Danio rerio: one gene and its partners. The protein of the gene in region 1 purifies or fractionates together with the protein of each later gene. This does not show direct contact. Links are inferred from orthologs where the notes say so. Each region holds a gene or a part of one and is shown in the gene's direction. Other genes may lie near its edges.

What was found. The genes of interacting proteins can lie anywhere in the genome.
Region 2: the proteins of ap2s1 (region 1) and eps15l1a purify together in Homo sapiens (affinity purification with mass spectrometry; 4 studies listed by BioGRID and IntAct, counting the BioPlex papers as one, with this or other methods). This does not show direct contact. The link is inferred for Danio rerio from reciprocal best matches to the Homo sapiens genes AP2S1 and EPS15L1.
Region 3: the proteins of ap2s1 (region 1) and bmp2k purify together in Homo sapiens (affinity purification with mass spectrometry; 4 studies listed by BioGRID and IntAct, counting the BioPlex papers as one, with this or other methods). This does not show direct contact. The link is inferred for Danio rerio from reciprocal best matches to the Homo sapiens genes AP2S1 and BMP2K.

Annotation. Positions count from the first base shown.
Region 1 is NC_133190.1:9,940,556-9,944,991, forward strand, and holds part of ap2s1 (AP-2 complex subunit sigma), read left to right. Parts: intron 1-1,306; coding exon 1,307-1,456; intron 1,457-4,436. UniProt on the Homo sapiens protein: Component of the adaptor protein complex 2 (AP-2). Adaptor protein complexes function in protein transport via transport vesicles in different membrane traffic pathways.
Region 2 is NC_133197.1:15,673,958-15,678,997, reverse strand, and holds the start of eps15l1a (epidermal growth factor receptor substrate 15-like 1), read left to right. Parts: upstream 1-1,622; 5' UTR 1,623-1,645; coding exon 1,646-1,672; intron 1,673-5,040.
Region 3 is NC_133180.1:40,002,684-40,007,712, forward strand, and holds the start of bmp2k (BMP-2-inducible protein kinase), read left to right. Parts: upstream 1-1,611; 5' UTR 1,612-1,999; coding exon 2,000-2,144; intron 2,145-5,029. UniProt on the Homo sapiens protein: May be involved in osteoblast differentiation.

The DNA of each region.
Region 1 (4,436 bases):
CAAAAACGCGAGGTGCACCTCACTGCCCTTATGTTGACAAGGAAAAAAGAAGAGAAGAAGCGCGGTCCTCTTATGAAACGACTGAATCAGCTGGGTATCGATTGTGCAAAAGTGTTGCTGTATATGTTGATAAAATTTTAATATTTAATAATATTATGATATTCAAGATTTGTACATTCATACAGCTCTGGATAACTTAAAACAGTGATTAGACCTTCAGAGCGGCAATAATGTGTCCTGAAGTAAAGCGAAACGGCTATAAACTCCAGCAAGATAGAGTGATTATATACAGAGCCATATACCTTTATCTATAAATAAAGTATAACTATAGAAACTGTGTTCATCTTAACTGAATGCAAAAAATACTTTTTAAACTTCATTTTAAGTCCAAAGAGAAAGGACTATTGTTTGTTTTTATTAATAATTTGCTTATATATTATTATTATTACCAAGCAGAAATAAACAAAACTTTAATATGAGGAGTTTCCAGGTGATTTTTTAAGCTAGTAGTGTTTTAAAATAAATAAATGCATAATATTTTTCAGAGATGGGTTGCGGCTTGAAGGGGATACGCTGTGTAGAGCATATGCTGGATAATTTTGTGGTTCATTCCACTGTGGCGACTTCGGATTAATAAAGGGGCTAAGCCGAAATGAATGAATGAAAAAATGCAAAATAATCGTGATAACCGTGTAACCGAGATTATTTCTCAGAGTAAAGTCGTTCAACCAAAGTCTAAAATCATATATATATAAATGGGTAAATATAGAAGAAGAAAATATGAAGTAAACACTAAAAGTCTCCCTTTTGAAATTCTAGTCAGCAGGTCCTGAAATGTTAAGGTTCTCAATGACAGACAGTATAGGACTTCATGTTTTGTTAAAGTTCAGTGATCCTTTAAAACAATGTCTCAGTTTATCTTCCAACCCCAACTGCACAAACATCAACACGCCATGTCATTGCCTTTACCTCCTTGTTCGCCAGGCACGCAATTCTCCTCAAATGGAAACTTATGTCCCCTCCATCATCAGAACACTGGATTAAAGAGGTTCTACATTGCATCTTTGCTGAGAAACATAAGCCATTATTTAATAGACTGTGAACGATGTTGTACTTTGATAGCCATTGGCTGCTAATATGGTTCGCTTATTTAGAATTTGCAAAGAATACTTTACTGAAATTATATTATCAAGGAAAAACTTTGAATATTTGCCAATATAAAACCAACTTTACCCCAATAAGGTTTATGTTTTATGCTTTACTGACTGATTTACAAAATTTTTATTATTTTACTGTTTATTTCCAGATCCGCTTTATCCTCATCCAGAATCGGGCTGGGAAGACCAGACTGGCCAAGTGGTACATGCAGTTTGATGACGATGAGAAGCAGAAGCTAATTGAAGAGGTGCATGCTGTAGTGACAGTCCGTGATGCCAAACACACCAACTTTGTTGAGGTACAACACTCGCTTTTAACATTTTTCTCAGGTCTTGGGTTAAAGTTAGTTTTATATTCACATAACATTGACAATTTGTGACACCCTTCCCCAAAACCGCTTGCAAAGTATGACTTCAAAGCATCATTATCTCTATTTAATTAACTGTGAACAATAATATACTTTGATCAGGGTTCATACGGTCATGGAAAACCTGGAAAAGTGATGGAATTTTGACATGACATTTTCAAGTCCTGGAAAAGTTTTGAAAAAATGGAAAAACCCACAAGGTTTTGGAAATGTCATGAAAATGTGTTTACCAATTACCTGTATACCTGCACGATATTGGAAAAATCTGACATTACCATATTTTGTATTTCTGTGATGTACATTGCGATGTGAATACAATTTCACTTGATGATTTAACAGGTTTATTTGGATTGATTGGGGGAATTTTGTAGGGGAGTGAATCTCGACTAATAAATAACAAATAAATTACAAGCATAGATAAATAAAATATAGTGAAGATATAGGTGAATTATAGGTTTCAGGTCTTCATTGTATATTATTTAAACTTTATTTACAAAATAGTTACAAAACATTTCAGTCACAGGCCTTAAAGGGATAGTTTACTCAAAGATTAAAATGTACTCACTATTTACTCGCACTTCACTTGTTTCAATACTATAGGAGTTATTAAATTGGATTCTTTTTGTGTTCATAAAAAAAAAAAAGAAAAAAAAGAAAACGCATAAATGTTTGAAACAAGTGATCGGTGTAATATAAATGGGAAGTAATTTTTGGGTGAACCATCTCTTTAAAAATGCATGCTGACGTACTGATGCTGAACTTTTACTCCATTATGTTTAAACTCTATATTAAACTTTAATCATTGCAACATTGCATATCCTGCCATGTGACTATAGTGGATGCACAAATTGCGATATCGATGCTGAATTGATACATTTTGCTGCCGTAACTTGAATTTAGGTTAGTTGTCTTTACTTCTTTACTATCCTTGGCCAAAAACTTGCTCTCACAATCTATCAATATGAAAACAAATGTAAACAAAATAGATGGTTGCGTGTTCTATGATGTGCTTTAATAAATTTTAACATCCTTGTTTTTCTTATTATTTCCCATGTACATGTTGACATTACATGAAACATTACGCCATGAAAATGTACTTGAAAGTACTGGAAAGTCATAGAATCCTGTTTGATGGAGTTTGACTGCTCATATGATTACCTTATTTAGAATTTGCAAAAGATACTTTTCTGAAATTATATTAAGAAGGTGAAAGTCCCGATGTGCGAATATAATACCAACTTTACCTTTATTTCTTAGGTCAGTGTGTGAGTCCATTACAGTTAACTACGTTGGTTGCAATGGTTTATCATGGTTTTTGGTTGACTGTTTCGTTATGGTATGTGCAAAGTTTACAAATGATGGCTGCAGACAAATTCAAAGAACAATAAACCTTTTTAAAATTTAAAATTTTTTACATTTTTGGCTATTTAGGCCATCTAAGTTTTTTGCAAGAAAATTGGCATTTGTTATTTGGGTGACTGTCTGAATTTACATTGAGTGTCTGCTGAAACACTAATGGCTGTCATGTTTTTTTGTCTCACCTGCACTTTTGCCGTTTATCTCCATCACTTGCCATGCTGAATGTTGAGAAACTCTATATTTACTTACTAAGAGGTGATTGGACAGGTCTTCACACATGCATGCAACATATGTGAAGTGTAAAGCTGGTTTTATACTTTTGCCTGGCGCACTTTTGATGACTGTGTGTGCATCTCACAAAATGGATAAGGCTTTTATACTTGCCGTGTTCGCTGTTGTGATACTCTTTAAAACGACAGGGTGGCGCCGAAAAGAAACCCACCAGTAAGACAGATTGATAAACAGAGAAGTGGAAAGTTTCCAGAATGACATCATATCGTTAATATAATACAACTTTTTAAATTATTTTTAGGATTTTTATAAGTTATTTAAATGATTATAAGGATTTTTATAACCATTCAAGATTTTTTTTAATCAAACTTTGATGCATCACTTGCTTTTGTTCATATCTTCGGCAGTTTTACCTATTAAAGTTTATTAAAATATTAATGACAACAGAACATGGGTTGCTATACAAATATATATTTTTATTATGTCAGGATTAAATGAAAAAAAGTACACTTACTAAAAAATACAGATGTTTTTCTTTAGATTTAGCCCACACCACAGTTCACACATTATTGTCTGTCTAGTTTCTGTCCTGTACTTATACTAAACAGGCAACAATGGTCCAACATCCCTGACCATTGTCATCAATAAAGCCTAGAAAAAACAGGCCATCAGTATGCTGTAACCGATAGGTTCAAATATTCCTTCCCAGTTATCAAAGAAATAATTTGTTCCTTAATTATAGTTTTGTAACTATTAAATTGTTTTCAGTTCAAAATTATAATATATACGTCAGTGTAAAACCTATGAATGGTGGAAAAGCATATTCTGCAAACTTGTACCTGGATCTTCACTTTTGCCATGGCCTCTTTTGGCTTTAATAAACTCTTCAGGTTTTTCCAAACTTTTTAACAAAAACTTTCCTCCTTTCACAGGGCTGTTGCAATTTCTAGCCAAGAATTAATTGATCATTAGGTTATTTCAAATTAAAAGCCCATTGTTCCACTATTGTGCTGAATCGTTCTTTATGCAGAACCGTTCCATTCCGTGCCAAACCGGGCCAGACAGCACGGATACGGTTTCATTTTCCACTGTCATGCTGCAACAAAGCTCTTTGAAAAATTACACAAACCTATTAGTAGTTACCTTGGTAATACAATGTAAACGGCTCCTTCGTTGAATTAAATTTAAATAAACTACTTTTTTGATGTTCATAAAATCGAAAGCAACTGGATAACTGAGCACTGTTATGTCGCTTAATCAAATAGGGGTGCTAAATATAGGCACATGTCACAGCACCCTTATTTATTTAGAGGTCATATGT
Region 2 (5,040 bases), on another chromosome or scaffold:
GGTGAGAGTTAAACAAATACAATTTGAACATAAATGAATATTATTTGATATTCAATCAAATATTAATTCATTAATTCATTTTCTTGTCGGCTTAGTCCCTTTATTTATCCGGGGTCGCAACTTATCCAGCATGTTTTTACGCAGCGGATGCCCTTCCAGCCGCAACCCATCTCTGGGAAATTAATCAATCAAATATATTAAAATAATAATGTAATGTTATATAATAATAATATAACAAAATAAAATATCCTTCATGGAGCAATCCAGCAGTCAAATTGATAAAAGAAAAATATTTGTTTAAGATGTCAATGAATTTTAAAATAAAAAATTAACCATTTAAAATGTAGAAAAGAAGATTGAGTGATACAACAAACAGCAATATAAATAATATTTAAGTAAAAGTAGAAAGGGGTGACACAGTGGCACAGTAGGTAGTGCTGTCGCCTCACAGCACGAAGGTCGCTGGTTTAAGCCTTGGCTGGGTCAGTTGGCGTTTCTATGTGGAGTTTGCATGTTCTCCCTGTGTTTGCGTGGGTTTCCTCCAGGAGCTCCGGTTCCCCCACAGTCTAAAAACATGCGGTATAGGTAAATTGAGTGTGAATGAGTGAGGATGTTTCCCAGAGATAGGATCCAGCTGGAAGGGCTGCGTAAAAACCTTACGTGCTGGATAAGTTGGAGGTTCATTCCACTGTGGCAACCCCGGAATAATAAAAGGACTAAGCCGAAAAGAAAATGAGCGAATGAATAAAAGTAGAAAGGGTGCATTTCAGGACTTGGGACCCATGTATGGCTGGAATTGCTTAGGGCCCAAAAATCACTAAATCCACCCTTGGATATATGATACTTTCCTTTATCATACATATTTATATCATATATATATACTGCATCATCTATTTACTTTATTATAATACTACATAAAAGATAGTATACAGTTGAAGTCAGATATATTAACCCCCCTGATTGTTTATTTTTGTTTCCCCAATTTCTGTTAACGGAGAGCAGATTTTTTCAACATATTTCTAAACATAATAGTTTTCATAACTAATTTCTAATAACTGATTTATTTTATCTTTGTCATGATGACAGTAAATAATATTTTACTAGATATTTTGCAAGACATATCTAAAGTGACATTTAAAGGCTTAACTAGTTTAACTAGGCAGATTAGGATAATTAGACAAGTTATTATATATTATATATAATTTTTAACATTGTTATATATTAGTATAACAATGATTTGTTCTGTAGACAGTAGAAAAATATCTTAAAGGGGTTAATAAGTTTGTCCTTAAAATGTAAAAAAAAAAAAGCTTTTATTCTTGCCAAAATAAACAAATAATACTTTATCCAGAAGAAAAAAATATTATCAGACATATTGTGGAAATTTCCTTTTTCTGTTAAACATAATTTGGGAAATAGGCTGTTAAAAATTTAAAAAAAAAATTAAAAGGGGCTCATTTAAAGTCTTGTTTACTTTATAAATATTTTATAAGTACATTCATTTGTCAACACTGCAGGGCATATCTGAAATATAAAGTACAATAATAAAACACCTTCGACAAGAATATTCAACAATATTTTAATCCGCTCGTCTTCAGCCCCCCCTCATTCCCTCACCCGCCGTTTCCGCAGCAACAGGGAAAAGATGGCAGCCCTCGCGACCCTCACTCAGGTAATACCAGCTAAAATCACCCATTATACGCTAATAACAAGGAAAAAACATCCGCAAACAGAAACAGATCTAACAATTGCACACAAATCGACCACATTGCTTGCGCTACCGGGCCGTTTTACGAATATATACAGCGTAAATGTCACGGGCCTCGTTAATCGGGCTCAGATTGCTAACCGATTAGCTCGCTTTGTATCTCTTGTCTGCTACAAAATCCGCACATAACAACGTCGTTATCAATGAAATTTGCTATAAACATTCAACTGCAGGAACATATTAAGTTTACGGCCGTTTATATGAATGGGAAATACAGTAAAAAGGAGTTATACTATTGTAATAACAAGCTAGCCGCAATATTATCCGAACATCATTTACACTAAAACTAACTGTCAATGCGATTTACATACACAAATCATAATTGTAACGTAATCTGACTACAGTACAGTAATAACATTTGAGTAATAAAAGTTGATGAAATCTGCTGAATAGTGTTATTATGTAGATTTGTGGTGTGATGTATAAAAATGGGTGTTGAACCGCTAGTTTAGCATAGCGGTGATGGGTCAGTTATTACGAGCATCAGTAATCTCACTGTAACGTTACTTTTGATTTGTAACGGATTACTCTGTAACGTTAAGTGAAGTGAAATATGCATACAATATGTACATTTATGTATATGAGCAATTCCAGCGTTATGCTTGTGACATTTGGAGTAAAAACTCAACACATAAATTCACAGAGAAAGTAGATGTTAACAATATATTGAAACAACTGTTTTTATATTTTTAAAACAACTGACCACAGAGTTATGGCAAATATCAATCTGTAAACATTTTTTATATTTCAAATGAGGAAAATGAACATGCGTTATAGATGTGACAAAAATTTTACAGTATAGAGTTTACAGTATACAACAAACTTTGTAGAAATTCTGTGAAATAAACTGCACAACCCAAAATAAATTATACTAATCAAAAGGATCTAAAAAGATCTCACTATAGAACAAACATAATTTATTTTATTTATTTGACATTTCTGCATTTATCAGGGAAAAGCTCTGTTATTATGGATGTGACAGATGTGAAATTGCCACTTGTGTGCTTTTGGTAAATCAAATATAAATGTTTGAAAACATTCGCAGAGACATTTTTGAGCATTTTTATAGTACTTTAAAATACAATCCTACACAAAAAATGTAGGAACGTTTTCTCTATTTGAAAACTTAAATTTTTTCTTGGCAAGGTTGACATTTGCATGGAATTGCTCATATATTTACAAAGATGTATGCGTATATCTGTTATTTTAGTATTACTCATGTACTGAATTGTTGCTATTACTACTTTAATTGTCATTCCTTTTTTATTGCAGTTTAAGTTTTGATAGTAATTATGTATTTTTTGTGACTACTTCTTAAATGTTATTTCTGATGTTGTAATGACTTAATTTCACATTTTCATGTTTGGTTACACTATTTTAACGTGTCCTTGTTACATTGTAACTCCAACTACTGAGGAGGAATATTAATTAATGACATGTACTTGCTTTAGCTACGTCCCAAATGACACACTATACACTATGCACTTATGCACTATGTTCTTATGCACTTACACACTTAACAGCATTCAAACCGGGCTGTTTTACCGATATTTACAGTGCAAATGTTACGGGTCTTGTTAATCGGATTTAGATTGCTAACTGATTAGTTCGCTTTGTATCTCACTTCAGCAAAAAATACCCACATAACATCTATGTTATCAATGAAATTTGCGATAAACATTCAGCTGCAAGAACATTTAAAGTTTATATCTGTTTATATGAATGGGAAATACAGTAAAAAACAGTTATACTAATGTAATAACAAGCTAGCCGCAATATTATCTGAACATCATTTACACTAAAACTAACTGTCAAGGTGATTTACATACACAAATCTTCATTATATTGGAATATGTGGATAGAACAGTAATACAGGTTGATGACTTTTGTTGAATAATGGTATTATGCAGATATGTGGTGCGTTGTATTAAAATGGGTGTTGTTATGAGTTTAAGATGTTTAAGTGGGATGCTGTAACATTTAGGTGAGACAGGTGTAATGTGTGCGACAGATGAAGGATGAGGCAGGAATCAATTCAGTATTTAAGCTTTTTTTTACTCAATAGTTTAAACAATGTGTAACAATAATAAATGAAAAAAGTATCAAACATTTTCAATTATTCTCTTTAAACAAAAACAACGAGTGTAAGCCAAATCAAAGAAATGAACAAAACAAAACAATTCTCCTTAAATCTAAAGTACTAGGCGTCAAAAAAGAAGTAATGAAAATAAAAACTGAGATCTTGTACACGACACCCGAACTAAACTAAATAAACTACAAAACTCAAAATTACACTGGTGGAAAACACTCAAACTAATCTTACAAAAATCCATCTAAACTAAAACAAACCTAACAAGACGGTTAAAGACTCAGTTTAGAATCGCACAACAACCAGTACATTATTTTACTCAAAGCCAACGAAGTTCAACAAGCAAACTCGAATTACTACAGTAAACTGAGATAATGAATCACTAAACAGATTAAGCATGTCAAAAACAAATTGTGTGGAGCACAAAAGGTATTCCGAGGCAGAACGCACACCACATACTGGTCTGTTGAGGCTTTAAATGCTTGCGGCTTGTCCGGAGATTGGTGGAACCGACACAACAAGGGTTGAGTAAGAAGCGGAGAGGGTGAGAAAAATAAATACACAAAGAAAAAAACTAACATCAACATGGGTCAGTTATTACCAGCATCAGTAATCTCACTGTATGTAAATGTATCTAAAAATTTACAAAGATGTGTATAAATGTGTATATCTGTTATTTTAGGATTACTCATGTACCTATTTGTTGCTATTACTACTTTTAATTTTTCATTGATTTTTCTTTTTTGTTGCAGTTTAGGTTTTGATAATAGTTATGTACTTTTTGTGACTACTTTTTAAATGTTTTTTCTGATAATGCCATGGCGTAATTTTCCATTTTCATTTTTGGTTACTCTATTTTAAGGTGTCCTTGTTACATTGTAACTCCAACTACTAAGGAAGAATATTAAATTGACATAAGCACCGAAACCTCCCCCTTTCCATTATGTGGGCAAAGCTGCGGTTGTTAAGTGCGTGAAGTGTCCATCATTCCACACTTCATATTACCGGTTGAATAAGTGCATCATCCGGATAATTAAAGTGCACTTATGATTTTTAGAGTTTTCAATGTGAATGCACTTCTTGCACTATTTATACTACAAAATGCCATAGAATAGTGCATAAGTGTGTGATTTGGGATGCACCTGACCTAATAGGGTTACTATACTATCAGAATGCAGGTTTG
Region 3 (5,029 bases), on another chromosome or scaffold:
ATGTTGTCTGCTCAGACTGGTTATTATCACGTGGCTGTCTCAATCTGATGTAATCTCTGTCAATATTGTGTTAAATAATAGGCATATGTGTGAAATTTTCCCCAAAACTTGTTTGAAAATGACAACAATAGTCATCTTTAATCTTTTCTTAAATTAGTAAAACATTGACAGTTAAAGGAGGTGCTTATAAATTATTTCACAATAACAGACATTTATTAAATATATTGAAAATAAACTGAAATGTAATAAAGATGCGGAATGAATCAATGAATTAACATTTACACTAAATACGATTTTACTCAGTAGAGACCATGGGACAAAATGGCTTGCTTATTAATTAGTTTGCTTTCTATTAATTATTCATTCATTTTCTATTCGGCTTAGTCCCTTTATTAATCCGGGGTCGCCACAGCGGAATGAACTGCCAACTTATCCAGCATATGTTTTACACAGCGGATGCCCTTCCAGCTGCAACCCATCCCTGGGGAAAACTATTAAGTATGATTTCTTAATAATTAATTAGCTTTTAATTATAATAATAATACATTTTATTTATAACACGCTTTTTTAAAACCCAAAGCGTCTACAATAAAGTAAAGACATTAAAAAATACAATAAAAACACAGTAAGAATAAAGGGGATATCACAAATTTTAAAAAAAGTCCTAAAAAGATGAGTTTTAGGTAGCCTAAAACAGTCCAAGTAACCAGTATTCCTAATTCCTTTTAGATTAATTTAAACGTTCGAAACTACAGGACAATTTATTTAATATTTAAAAAATATATATTGTCATGCAACCAAACTGTAAAGGACCATTTGAACTCTAAATTCACCATTTTAGTAATGCGTTCAGAGATGTTAATCGATGTGTAATTTCTGTTTACATTAAATCCCCGTTTTAAGAACAATCTGTTTTTAATATTAGATAGAAATCTATCCAATCATTCTAAAAAAACACACTAGGACACAAAAGAGGAAAGTGGCAGTCAGCTCTCCACACTCTCCCAAACCACCCATTCACATCTTTCACCGACTGCACGATCTTCAAACTGCTGAACAAAACGCAGGCAGAGACAGTCACCCAGGCCGCCCCATCAGAGCAGAGCATCTGCAGGACGCGCCTCGCTCACACCAATCATGACAATGGGAAGGAAACGGACAAAAGCAAAGTTAGGTTGTCAGACAGGCGGATTGGGCAATAACAAACCTCCCACTAAATCTACGGCGAGTCACGAGAGTTCCAACTTTATCAGTGTGACGGGGGACTTCCAGAACACGAGGAAGAAGCGCGCCGCCCGCCCGCCGTGCACACGGTAACCGACGCTAGCCGCGAAAACACCCCGAACGCGCTGCTGCGCCGAGGACTGCGGGATTATTTTTGCAGTCGCGTGCTTTACTATGAAACGCGGTGTCCTCCTCAAGCAGATAGAGGAAGCCAGTCAGCTAGCGAGCTGGCTAACTGAACTATCCAAAGGGGAAGTGGCAGCAACCATCGTTTAAGAGTTTCGCTAGCGTAGCTTCCGCCCAACACACCCACTTTCAGTCTGCTTGTTGTTCGCGTTGGTTTCAAATAACCGGGACTTTAACCAACTTCGGCTTTCCACATAAAGCATGCGTGTGCTGAACGGAGCGTTTCGCTGTTGTTAGCCAGCTAGCGAGGCAAATGGTCTCTCTGGCTCTCGCAAAGGCTCGCTAGCCAGCCGAGACTGGAGTCGGCCTGGAAACACAGCGGTCGTGCTCGTGTTGTTGTCACTCATTAACGACAAAACGCTTTACTTCTATGCTGTTGCTTCGCCTGGCTTTTGGGGGAAATAAGGAAGCATTCAGCGACGCCTTTCTGCGTCCCTCGAGCGCTGAAGTGCCTGGCGCATCTTGGGAGAGCAGATCTCTCAGCATGCTGGACAAAAGAGCTGAGATCATGAGCAGACTGGAGTTTTAATCGTCTTTGGCTCGTTTGGAACTGTCCGTTTTGGGGAAGGCGGGAAAATTAGAGGCAAGAATGAAGAAGTTTTCGCGAATGCCGAAGTCTGAGAGCGGAAGTCTCGGGGGTGGGTCTGGATCTGGTACTGGAAGCAGCAACTACATTGGGAAGGTGTTTGCTGTCGGTCGATACCAAGTGACTGTGGAGGAGCTTATCGCTGAAGGTAAATGCATGCACTGGATTTAGGCCAAAGAAAAGATTATGGTCAGACTTTTGCTACTGATGAAATTTGTAGGAGCCCCTCGGATATTTTCCATAGCATCATAAGCAGTTCAAGAGGGGCTAGATGTATATGCAAACATGATGTTTACGTTAGGTTGCAGCTCATCATCACATCAACAATGATCTTTCTCATAAAGTACTTCCCTAAATCTAATGTCATTTGTTGTCTGTGTCACTGTTAATAATCACATGGTTTTGGATCAGGAGGTCTGGGCTCTTCCTGAACTTGATCTCATGTTTGTCAAACCAGAAAAAAAGAAATCCTGTGTCTTTTATCTTGTCCTCACTATAGATTTAGTAAAACCTCAGGCCTTTTTCAAAGATTAAATTGTTTTATTGCCTTGCGATTACTACTCTTGGCCTTGGCACAGGTAGTAAAACAGTTTATCATCACACATACAGTTAAAGTCAGAATTGTTAGCCACCCTGTTTATTTTTTCCCAATTTTACGGAGAGAAGATTTTTTAGAAACACATTTGTAAACATAGCTTTAATAACTCATCTCTAATAACTGATTTATTTTATCTTTGCAATGATGACAGTACATAATATCTTATTAGATATTTTTCAAGACACTTCTATACAGCTTTAAGTGACATTTAAAAGATTAACTAACTTGTTCTGTAGACTATCGAAAAAAAAGGGGTTAAAGGGGCTAATAATTTTGACCTTAAAATGGTGTTTTAAAAAATTAAAAACTGCTTTTATTCTAGCCGAAATAAAACAAATAAGACTTTCTCCAGAAGAAAAAAATATTATCAACCATACTGTGAAAATTTCCAGAATCTGTTCATCATCATTTGTGTAATATTAAAAAAAATAAATAAATTAAAGGAGGGCTAATAATTTTGACTCCAACTGAAAGCCATGTTATCCCCATACAATTCAGAGAACTGCTTCTTTTTGATTTAACAGTTGCTCACTTAGCAGATTGAAGCAGCTTATTTTGATGATAAACTCTACTGAAGAGTTATAAACATTGTAAGAACCAACTTGGTACACACTTTATGAAATGACACTTTTAAGTAGTCCAGTAAATCCCCGTCTTTAGTGTATTTTAGTGTTTTATTTATGTGTGTGCCATCTAAAACACTCATAATTCTGTCATCTATTGCGTTTTAAAATACTAGTGTGTTTGTTTGTTTCCTGTGCAAATGTTTTTAGTTCTGCGAGTTTCACTGAACAGCAACTTGGCAGCCATCAACTTGCTGACTGGACACAATTATTTAATTTGCCATGAGTGCAAAAGTTCGCCCTCACAAACAACTGTTGGTCTTGAAAAATGTTTTTATTCTTTTCCTTGTTTTGGGGTTATTCATTGTTTATTGAGCTAAATGGTTTTGATCACTTTTTGGTAATTTAACAGTGTTTCATGTAATTTAAAGGAAAGAAAATATCTTAAAATATATAATATTATACAAAAACATGTTGTCTTCATCTTCCAGCAATGATTACTGCCCAAATATACTTTATTTGTTGCATATTTTAAGTTTGTGTACAGATATATTTAAAGCTAGGTTTGTTTGTTTTCTGATTATAATGATAATTTGACACTTCTAAAGAGATTTACCCCAAAATCTAAATTCTGTCATTCACTCGCTCTCATTTCATTTAAACTCGCTTTAAAAATAAATTTAGAATTTACACTTCGATGACGCAGTGGCGCAGTAGGTAGTGCTGTCGCCTCACAGCAAGAAGGTCGCTGGTTCGAGTCTTGGCTGGGTCAGTTGGCATTTCTGTGTGTAGTTTGCATGTTCTCTTTTTACCATCTACGACTTGTGGCAAAAGTAAAGTCGTTTCTCTCTTTTAATGACCTTGAGAAGGTGATCCATGCTTTTATTCTGGGAAGACTTGACTATTGTAATTCTCTGTATGTGGGTATTAGTCAAAATGCCCTAAACAGATTGCAATTAGTACAAAATGCAGCTGCGAGACTTCTGACAGGGACTCGCATGTTTGAGCACATATCCCCAGTTCTTTCCTCTCTGGGCTGGCTGCCTGTTAGGTCAAGAATTGATTTTAAACTATTAATCTTTGTTTTTAAATCCTTAAACAATCTGGCACCATCATACTTATCAGACCTGCTACACGTATACAATCCAGGTAGGTCACTGAGGTCTTCTGATGAATTTATTCTATCTGTACCAAGGTCCCGGTGTAAGCGAAGTGGGGATCGGGCTTTTGCTGTTGTCGCCCCAAAACTCTGGAACGGGCTTCGGCCCCACATCAGACATGCTCCAACTCTACCTGTTTTTAAAAAGTGTTTGAAACACCATCTTTGTTCCTTAGTATTTGAGCCTTTTTAATGTTGAGGGATTTGCCTTATGTTTTAATTGTTATTTATGTGATGTAGATTTCATGTTTAGTATTGATTGTGTTCAGCAGTTTGGGCAACGTTGTGTTGTAAAAAATGTGCTATATAAATAAACTAAACTAAACTAAACTCCAGGTGCTACGGTTTCACTCACAGTCCAAAGACGTGGTATAGGTGAATCGGGAATGCTAAAATTGTCTGTAGTGTATGAGTGTAAATAGATGTTTCCCAGAGATGGGTTGCGACTGGAAGGGCATCCGCTGCATAAAACGTGCTGGATAAGTTGGCAGTTCATTCCACTGTGGCGACCCCGGATTAATAAAGGAACTAAGCCGAAAAGAAAATGAATAAATGAATGAATGAATGAATTTACAATTCTATTAAACATGGAAATCTGTGACCTCAAAGCACGCAAACTAACTTCTTCTAAGTTACCTAGCTCAAAGATTAAGTTAGCTTATGTTTTTTATACACAATTTCAAACATGTTGTTAATTACGATTTAATAAATTT